2 linked regions of the Macaca fascicularis genome follow. The protein of the gene in region 1 binds, or shares a complex with, the protein of each later gene. Links are inferred from orthologs where the notes say so. Each region holds a gene or a part of one and is shown on either strand. Other genes may lie near its edges.

Region 1 (5,007 bases):
ATGAAGCTGAGTTCACCATTTTCCCTGTGCCACCCTATCAAAAGTCTGTTCCTACTCCTGTATTTACTATTCTAGAGCAGGGAGAGGGAACATTAGCAAATTGTGGCCTACAGGTCAAATCTAGCCTGCCAACTATTTTTGTAAATAAAGTTTTACTGGAATGCAGCTAGACCCATTAATTTACATATCATCTATGGCTGCTCTTGAACTACAAAGGCAGAGTTGAGTAGTTGAGACAGAGATGATATGGCCCAAAAAGCCAAAAGTACTTATTATATGGTCATTTATAGGAAAAGCTTGTTGGCCTCAGTTCTGGAGGTGTGCTTGTGGCTGCAGCAGCTAACTGGCTGTGCACAGGTAAGGCCAGGCAAGGCAGGAGCCGCTCAGCATCTCTGCTTTGTCTCCTTGGCTCTTCCCCTGCCATCCTCGTCCTGCTACCTGGGACTCCAGGATGTGCCCTTTCGACCCTTTCCTAACATCTTCGCTCCTTTCCGCATACTTGAAACCCCATGGCTCAACCTTTCCTGTTCTATCCCTCCTCAGCTCTCCCACCTGAACCTCAGCTTTTCCAATCCCAAATCCTCCTCTTCTTTTGGATATTTCCTTGGAGTCTGCATCTCCTACCCAGAGCATTTCCTGCTCAGCCTGCTCCCTCTCCTCCTAGGCTAGGTCCTCTCTCCAGTTCTCCCGCCTTCTCTGCCCCCCGGGTCTAGGTCTCTCCCACCAACTGGTTAGCCTGCGTCACCATTACCTCCCCTCAGTCTCATCTCTCTCAGGCTCTCCACTCCTTTCAGCCTTGGTCCTCTGCCCTCCCGTCTGGGTGTCTGAGTTGTGGGGAAATGAAGTGCTTCCTATTGCTATTCCTCCCGACACATAGGTGAAGTGCTCCCTGAGCATGGAGATGATCCGGAGGTGTCACTAACCCGTCTCCACACACTAACACAGCTAACCCACTGGGCCCTCTTTCCTAGCAATCTAAGGATCATCATTCACTCTTCTGCCTCTTACATCAAATTGGTCACCAGGTTCTACTGCGTCTGCTTTCTAAATATCTATTGAATCCATTCACTCCATCCTTTCCTTTCTACCGCCTATAAAACTGCCATTATTTCAAGCCTTCAAAATCTGCCTTCTGGCTACCTCTCCAGTGTTGTCTCCTGCCTTGCCCCACGTAGCTCTCACGCTGCAGCCATGAAGAGCTGCTTCCCATTCCTCAGACTCGCTGCATTCCATATGAGCGGCATCTTGCCTTGTTCATCCTCTAGTCCCAGCACCTAACCCAGGTTTTATAAGGTAGACACTACAAAAAAGAACACATCATGTACAATGCGCATGACTTTCTACATATGACTCTCATATGTCGTCAGATGAAACTTTCATACACCATTCCCTCTGCCTAGTGGGCCTTCCTAAATACCCACCCCTACCCCACAAACTTCTAAATCTCAAGACTGTACCCAAGGTCAGCTGCTTTGAGAAGGGATCCTAATTCTAGAAGGTTGAAGTGGTCCTCCCCTCTCTATCTCTCACAGTGGTCCATGCAGACCTCTACCATGATCATAAGTCAAAATGACAAGTTTACATCTGGTTGTCTTCCATGCTAAACTGTAGATTTGTTGGCATTTCCTGTGCTCGGCACCCAGTTGGGAAAGAGGATCAGGTCATAAGCAATTGCCAGATTTTAGGATATTTGTTGTGTCTGAATAAGCTGAATATTCTGCTGAATAAGCTAATTACCTGTGTATTCTAAATGATATCAACCACTTATTGTTTAGTGCACACTGCGGGGAGGCCAAAGAAGGCTGTATTTCTGCTTTCTTGAAACATAGTCTGATTGAAGAGACCAGGTATCCAAGGAAAATTAATGCAAATACAAAAGGAGAGTAAGTTCATGAGAAATATGGCAGAAGAAAAGATCGCCAGGTCCACATGATTTGATTTGGGAACATTTCAAAGAAGGTGAACCAGGGAAGATTTCTTTTTTTGGGGGGGAAAGGGTTTCACTCTCACCCAGTTTGGAGTGCAGTGATACAAAAAATTAACCAGGTATGATCATGGCTCACTGCAAGCCTCAACTTCCCAGGCTCAGGTGATCCTCCCACCTCAGCCTCCTGGATAGCTGGGACTACAGGTGCACAACACTACACCTGGGCTAATTTCTGTATTTTTTGTAGAGATGGTTTTCACCATGTTGCCCAGGTTGGAAGGGAGGATTTTAATAGAATAGGCATTTCCAGTTTGAAGAAAGAAGAGAATGAATGTGGGAACAGCCAGAGTCTGGGTTCTGGAGATAAAAATGGGGACATATGTGTAGCATACAGGCAGTCTAGCTGGGGCAAAGTGTTCATAATAGGGAGGTAGAAGACAGGGGAAAAAAGGTTTAAGCAACAGGCTAATGAGGTCCTGTAGGTAACTGAAAGTCATATAAGGTCACAGTTAGAAAAAGAGTAATGTTTTACGAAGACTATTCTGTAAAATAAAGATACAATTGGAAGAGAAGAGAAGGAACCCCGGGATCCTACCTTCTCCTTTAGTTTTGTCTGTAGGAAGAGAGTCAGCCTCTGTAGTTGCTCAGTCAGCACCCCTAGCTTTTGAGAGTACTGCCGTGTTTTCTCCAGGTCTTGCTCCTGGTTATCTACTATGGTGCTGGCCAGTTTAGCCCTGAAATAAGGAACAAGGAAGATGACCAAAGACCAAATTACCTTCTCTGAACGCCTCTCCCAAATCCCCACAGAGCTGCATTAAAGGAGAGAAACGAGAGGCTCAACACTCACAGTTCTCTTCTTTGAGATTTTGGCTTCTAGAAGTGTTCCTGACAAAAAAAAATAAGCACTTGGGGGGAAGTACAGAGAGTTAGACAACTTACGTTAGGTTCTCTACAGTGTCCTTGAGGTTCTCACACTGCAAGCTGCGCTCCCGGAGCACTTCCAGTGTGGTTTTCAGTTGACACTCAACCTGACTCAGTTCCAGGTGAGCAACCTGATTCTCCTGGTCTGCAAACTGGGAAGACAAGAGAAGCAGCAAGACAGGGAGGGAGAATTTTAGTGCCCTAGGGACAGAGGCTTTTTCTAGTTCATGGTCTCAAACCTTACCTCAACATTATCAGGCAAGAATCACACTCTTGAGGTTTACCAGCTCCCTTGGCCCAAGCCATATTCCTTACCTCCAAGGTCTCTTTCAGGTCCCGCACCTCTTTGGCCAGGACAGCTTGTTGCTGCTGCAGTTCTGCCTGCATGTGTTTTAGTGCCATCTCTTCCTTTTGCCATCTGTCAGAGACCATATATTAGATCCCATTTGGTCCTAATTCCTGGATGCCTACTGCCACAATACCCTGTTAGGAACTCACTGAGCAGCCTGCTCCTCATTGCTCTGGATAAGTTGGCAGAGTAACTCATCCTTCACAGCCAGGTCCTGGGCACAATGGGCATGCTGACTCTGTAGCTCTTTTAGCTGGTTGTCCAAGTTGGCCAGAATCTGCAACTGAGCCCGGAGATCTAGAACAAAAGTATCCTAATGACACTATGCAGTTACCAGGCCAGAAACTGCCCAAACCTCTGCTCCAAAGAAAGTGCTCCTGAGTACTTCCTTGCTCTAGTGCCACACTCCAAGCCTTAACAGGGCTCAACTGCTTACATGCGTGCATACACACACACACACACACACACCTGTTGCTAGACGACTGTTTTCCAACTCCAGTTGTTCTATTTGGCCTTTGCACTCCTCTAACTGGGCAGAAACTTGTTCCAGCTCCCTGGAAACCTAGGAAGAAAAGATGGTTTTCCTCCTGTAGTTCCTCCTGAATCAATAATCCCAGGACTTGGTCCAGCTTCTCTTTCTGAACAAGACAGAAAACTACCTTGCTCCTGGGCATCAACATTGCAGAAAATAAGGTTGATCCTCAGGAAAAAGTAGAGACAGGAGAAAAGTTGCTAAAGTAAAGATGCTGAAGGGCAGAAGGCCGGGCGCGGTGGCTCACGCCTGTAATCCCAGCACTTTGGGAGGCCGAGGCGGGCGGATCACAAGGTCAGGAGATCGAGACCATGGTGAAACCCCGTCTCTACTAAAAATACAAAAAATTAGCCGGGCGCGGTTGTGGGCGCCTGTAGTCCCAGCTACTCAGGAGGCTGAGGCAGGAGAATGGCATGAACCCGGGAGGCGGAGCTTGCAGTGAGCCGAGATCGCGCCACTGCACTCCAGCCTGGGCGACAGAGCGAGACTCCGTCTCAAAAAAAAAAAAGATGCTGAAGGGCAAACGAAAAAACTGGGCTTAAGGCCATCTTACAGCTAAGGGACCTGGCTGGCCTCCAAACCCACAGGGTGAAAAGAAAACAGATCCAGGGTAAGAGGCTAATGATATCACACATTAGAAAGGAAACCAAGCCTAAGCAGTCCCCACTCCTGGTCTGTACCTCCTGCTTTTCCTCAATTGCTGCATCACGTTCCTGCAGGGCCTGCCGGCTCTTGACTGTGAGTTTCTCTGTGAGTTGTCGAGACCGACTCAGCAAAGCTGTCCATGTTGTATACTACCAGAGGAAGCAAGCAGGTCAGTAGAGCACACTTGAGGCAAAGCTCCTAACAGGACTTGATGTGAGTAAGGAATTAATTATGATGGCCCCAAATACTCACATCCAGTTGCATGGACCTCCAGTCCTGTCGCAAGGTAGAAGTAAGACTCACTGTCTGCTGAACCAGCTCTTCTTGCTCGGTATGAAGCCCTACCTACAAAAGAAAGATTGCCTAGGAGGGAGCCCCTTCCCTTTGGATACAGGTCCACCCTCCCAGTCTGTCAGCACAGACCCCAGGAAAGAAAATGCCCTTAAATTACCAGTTGGGTCTGGGTGTCCTTCAGAAGGCCTCTGAATTCCTGCATGGATGCTAGGTCTTGTTCCAGCTGGCTGATGCGCTGGCTGGCATGTGCACAGAAAGCCTCCAGCACTGTCTCTGCCTATTGAGGGAAGAGGTTGCAAGGACACAGTGGGCAACAGGGGAGCCAGCACAAAAAGCTGT
Region 2 (5,007 bases), on another chromosome or scaffold:
TCTTACATTTCTAATAGCTGCTCCATTTCCTTAAGGGCTGTTGTTAAATCATTTACTTGATTGTTACATAAGGTTTGCTGTTCTAGGAATCGGACTCTTTCTTCTTTCATCTCCAGCTTTACCTTTAAGGCCTGCATGGAAAGACATTCCAAAGGAAAACAACACATACACAAAACTCTTGACTAACAGGAAACACAATACCCACATTATGCTCCTGTTCCACTAAGGAAGACCGCTGGAGTATCAACAGAGACTGTATCTTCTATTTTAGATTTTGCTTCTACGTGCTGGTTTTAGGAATTGTCCCCCTAGTAGTAGAGAGGGACTAGACTCCTGTATCTCTAGGTTTGGGGCAATATCCCATGATTCATCCAAGCAATCTGAAGCAGTCCAGACCAAAGAATCTGTGTTTACTACAGGTCTCCTCCTCAAGTCATCAAGTTTCCATAGAAAGGATTACATACAGTTCCCAATTCCCAACTCTGAGCAACCTACTGTGTTACACATTGCCTCATGCCTTGGCAATGTGAACATTTCTAAGAGGCCTCGCTAACAGAAAGAAAAAAAAATTGGTGGAAAAAACTGCTAAAAAATCCAAATGAAGACTTGGAATATAGTTAATAGTAATGTACTGATGTTGGTCTCTTTTTTTAAAACAATTTTTTCCTGCCGGGCGCAGTGGCTCACACCTGTAATCCCAGCACTTTGGGAGGCCAAGGCGGGTGGATCACCTGAGGTCAGGAGTTCGAGACCAGCCTGGCCAACACGGTGAAACCCTGTCTCTACTAAAAATATAAAAATTAGCCGGGCGTGGTCACAAACGCCTGTAATCCCAGCTACTCGGGAGGCTGAGGCAAGAGAATCTCTTGAGTCCGGGAGGTGGAGGTTGCAGTGAGCCGATTATCATGCCACTGCACTCCAGCCTGGGGGTAAGAGCGAGGCTTTATCTCAAAAAAAAAAAAAAATTATATTTTTAGAGACATAGTCTCACTGTCACCCAGGCCGGAGTGCAGTGGCATGATCACAGCTCACTGCAGCCTTGCCCTCCTGGGCCCAAGTGGTCTTCTCGCCTCAGCCTCCTGAGCAGCTGGGACTACAGGTATGCACCATCTCTCTCTCTCTCAAAAAAAGTATATACTGTGAGTACCTTTGCTAGGCACTGGGTTAGGTACTAGACATAATTCTCTTTTATAACCACCCAGCAAGATAGGCATTATTGGTATGAACTTAGTTTATTCATACTTTTTTTTTTTTTGAGACGGAGTCTTGCTGTGTTGCCCAGGCTGGAGTGCAATGGCACCATCTCGACTCACTGCAACCTCTGCCTTCCACCACACCTGGCTATTTTCTAAATTTTATTTTGCAGAGATGGGATCTTGCTATGTTTCCCAGGCTGGTCTCAAACTCCTGGCTTCAAGTAATCCTTCGACCTCAGCCTCCCAAAGTGCTGGGATTACAGGCATGAGCCACCATGCCTGGCTGATTTCTTAGTTTTGACAAATGTACCAGGATAATGTAAGATGTTACTGTTGGGGGTTGGGGGAGGGAGTGCATCAAGAAGAATAGCTAATAGATGCTGGGCTCAATACCTAGGTGATGGGATGATCTGTGTAGTAAACCACCATGGCACATGTTTACCTTGTAACAAACCTGCACACCCTGTCCATGTACCCCTGAACTTAAAAGTTGGAAATTTAAAAAAAAAAAAAAAGTATCAGGGTAAATTTTCTGTATTATCTTTGTAACTTTCCTATAAATCTAAAATTATTTAGCAAGTTTATTAAAAATAAAAAGAAAAACAGGAAAGAAATCTACCTATCGTGGTAGAAAATGGTCAGGGTGATGTCTGCCTCTCACCTGTAACTCCTCCATCTGCTTTTTGGCTGTTTCATTAAAAAGCTTCAGCTCCTCTTGCAAAGTTTCTAACAGCAACTAAGAGGAAAGTACAATGTAGTAAACAAATCTTCATATAAAACCAGACCTGCATTAGATGATGGCTAACATCCCTTCCACACAGTTCTCAACAAAGGAGTCAGGAAATTTGATACAGTATAGAACAGAGGAACCAGAAAGCTCTCTCTACAGGTTTACCTATCACGTGTTTTAAATTTTCTTTTTTCTTTTTTTTTTTTCTTTTTTTTTGAGACAGAGTCTCGCTCTGTCGCCCAGGCTGGAGTGCAGTGGCCAGATCTCAGCTCACTGCAAGCTCTGCCTCCTGGGTTGACACCATTCTCCTGCCTCAGCCTCCCAAGTAGCTGGGACTACAGGCGCCCGCCACCTTGCCCGGCTAGTTTTTTGTGTTTTTTAGCAGAGACGGGGTTTCACTGTGTTAGCCAGGATGGTCTCGATCTCCTGACCTCGTGATCCACCCGCCTCAGCCTCCCAAAGTGCTGGGATTACAGGCGTGAGCCACCGCGCCAGGCCCCACGTGTTTTAAATTTTCAATTCAGACTTACCTATATTTGTAAGCACAAAGCTACCTTTCAAGTAAAATATGCTATTTTGAGTGCATGTTCCATTTCTCTTTTCTACCATCGCAGATAATCAAAGGTTGTTTCTTGGGGTTTATGGAACATATAGCAGAGACCTTCTTAGATTTACAGAGCCCCACAGTCACTCAGCCCTTGTGCCCTTTCGCACCCATTCCCTCACCATAGAGTCCATGTGATCGGTAGTAGATTCTTGTCGTGATGCCAGGGTCTCACTGCCTAAAGCTGACGGATACAACAAAGTCAACTTCACTTAGGGAACTACACACTTTAAACCAAAAAAAAATAAAAACCCTCCATGAACAAGTACAGAAATATTCATGAGGGGAATTTCTCTTAAGTGTCTAATCCTGGACTTTCTCCCAAGTTTTCACCTTGGCAGGGTCACCCACATCTGCCCTGCAGAACTGCATTTTATCTCCTTTCAATCTAGGTTTGGATATGGCCAAAAATTCTGTATACTTTCTCCTTAGGTCAGTGGACAATTTGTCCAAAGGAAATGTATAGGTTGGATTTTTTGGTTTTGTTCACAATTTAAGAGCCTTTCAGGCCTTAAAAATTATTACTTTTGGTAATATCACATGCATGTAATAAATTAAAATCATACAAAATATTTATGGTGTCAGTTGTGGTGACGCATACCTGTAGTCCCAGCTACTCAGGATTGCTTGAGCCCAGGAGTTGGAGGCCAGCCTGGGCAACATAGCGAGATCCCATCTCAAAAAAAAAATTTTAAATTTAAAAATATGTATTTTACAGTGACTATAAAGAATATCCCAGGTCGGGCATGGTGACTCATGTCTGTAATCCCAGTACTCTGGGAGGCTGAGGCAGGCAGATCACTTGAGGTCAGGAGTTTGAGAACAGCCTGGCCAACATGGCGAAACCCTGTCTCTACTAAAAATACAAAAATTAGTTGTGTATAGTGGTACATGCCTGTAATCCCAGTTACTCACGAGGCTAAGGCACAAGAATCACTTGAACTCAGGAGGAGGAGGTTTCAGTGAGCTGAGATCACGCCACTGCACTCCAGCCTGGGCAACGGAGTGAGACTCCATCTCAAAAAAAAAAAAGAATATCCTCACCTGTAACCTAAAGATTAACCAGTAACATTCAAAGTCAGTATTCCTTAATACAAAAAGGCCTGGGCCCATTTCCTGGGCATTCTCTAGCTCTTTGACTCAGGCTGAGGCCCTCTTACAGTCTTTGGACAATTCTTTCTACTGCTCTCTTTGCTACAGATTCTGCTCTCTGGGGGACAGGGTAACAGTAGTCATTTTTTAGTCACTGTAATTCTACTGATTAGCCAGGTTTAAGAATGCTTGAAGTAGTATTTTCTGTCTCTTCCCATTTGAGAAGTTACTAGTATGCTTGCGAGGAAGAACATGTTCAAACAAAATGTTCCTTTCAAGCACACTAGTAACTTTCCCAAATGGGAAGAGACAGAAAATATTCTCCCTTGAAAGGAACAAAATATTTCTCATCTACTTGCAAGGTCATACCTGTTGGCATAAAGTGTTCAGGTAAGAAAGAGATAACCTTCTCTCTATATAATCCTCTGAAATTCTATTGGCCAGGCAAAAATCAACATCACATGAAAACAAACAGAAGCCCTCCAAAATCTTTAGGGCTTTACTGAAGTAACCCCTGCACTTACTGGGCCAGCTGATGCCATGCTGCCAAGATCAACCCAGGAAGGGACACATGCACTGATCCCTTCAAAGACAGCTAGCTGTGTGCTATCTCTTACCTGGATCAAGGCCCTTGCTCTCCAAAATTGCCAAACAGTTGTCCCGAAACTTCTCCAGCAGCTCTACCTTTTGGGTCAGGTCCTTCAGCTCTCCCTGTTGGAGCACCGCACAGACAGATCAGGAACTGTCCCAATCCCTAGGGGTGGTCGCCCTTTCTTGCCCTTGCTCTTGGACAGCCATAGCAAAAGCCTGTTTTGTTTTTTTTTTTCTGCCCTTGGGCATTTGTGCATTAACAAGCTTGCTCACCCAAGGGGCCATCCATCAGGATTCCATGTGCATTGCCCAGTGGCAGCTGGTAACAGAGCTCTGGTGGGTCTCTTACCTGAGTTTCAGTCAACTTCTGGTGCAACTGCTTGTTGACGGCTTCTAAGAGCTGGTTCTTGTCCTTGAGCTCGTCCTCTGATTTTTGCTTACTCAGTGGTTTGTAGCTGTAATAACAGTTGTACTTACATGAAAAGACAAAAGGGTTAAGAGCATGGCCTACACCAGGCGCAGTAGCTCACGCCTGTAATCCCAGCACTTTGGGAGGCTGAGGTGGGCAGATCACCTGAGGTCAAGAGTTCAAGACCAGCCTGACCAACATGGAGAAACCCTGTCTCTACTACAAATACAAAAATTAGCTGGGCGTGGTGGCGCATGCCTGTAATCCCAGTTATTTGGGAGGTTGAGGCAAGAGAATCGCTTGAACCTAGGAGGTGGAGGCTGTGTGAGCTGAGATTGCACCATTGCACTCCAGCCTGGGCAACAAGAGCAAAACTCCGTCTCAA

What was found.
Region 2: SPAG5 (region 1) and KNSTRN share a complex: the UniProt entries of both Homo sapiens proteins name them as parts of the astrin (SPAG5)-kinastrin (SKAP) complex. The link is inferred for Macaca fascicularis from reciprocal best matches to the Homo sapiens genes SPAG5 and KNSTRN.

Annotation. Positions count from the first base shown.
Region 1 is NC_088390.1:34,048,545-34,053,551, forward strand, and holds part of SPAG5 (sperm-associated antigen 5), read right to left. Parts: intron 4,946-5,007; coding exon 4,826-4,945; intron 4,720-4,825; coding exon 4,627-4,719; intron 4,524-4,626; coding exon 4,410-4,523; intron 3,760-4,409; coding exon 3,666-3,759; intron 3,495-3,665; coding exon 3,347-3,494; intron 3,267-3,346; coding exon 3,164-3,266; intron 3,001-3,163; coding exon 2,867-3,000; intron 2,662-2,866; coding exon 2,523-2,661; intron 1,301-2,522; exon of another isoform or gene 1,141-1,300; intron 1-1,140. UniProt on the Homo sapiens protein: Essential component of the mitotic spindle required for normal chromosome segregation and progression into anaphase. Required for chromosome alignment, normal timing of sister chromatid segregation, and maintenance of spindle pole architecture.
Region 2 is NC_088381.1:16,885,923-16,890,929, reverse strand, and holds part of KNSTRN (small kinetochore-associated protein), read right to left. Parts: intron 4,669-5,007; coding exon 4,563-4,668; intron 4,334-4,562; coding exon 4,240-4,333; intron 3,548-4,239; coding exon of another isoform or gene 3,504-3,547; exon of another isoform or gene 3,433-3,503; intron 2,715-3,432; coding exon 2,653-2,714; intron 1,933-2,652; coding exon 1,858-1,932; intron 132-1,857; coding exon 3-131; 3' UTR 1-2. UniProt on the Homo sapiens protein: Essential component of the mitotic spindle required for faithful chromosome segregation and progression into anaphase.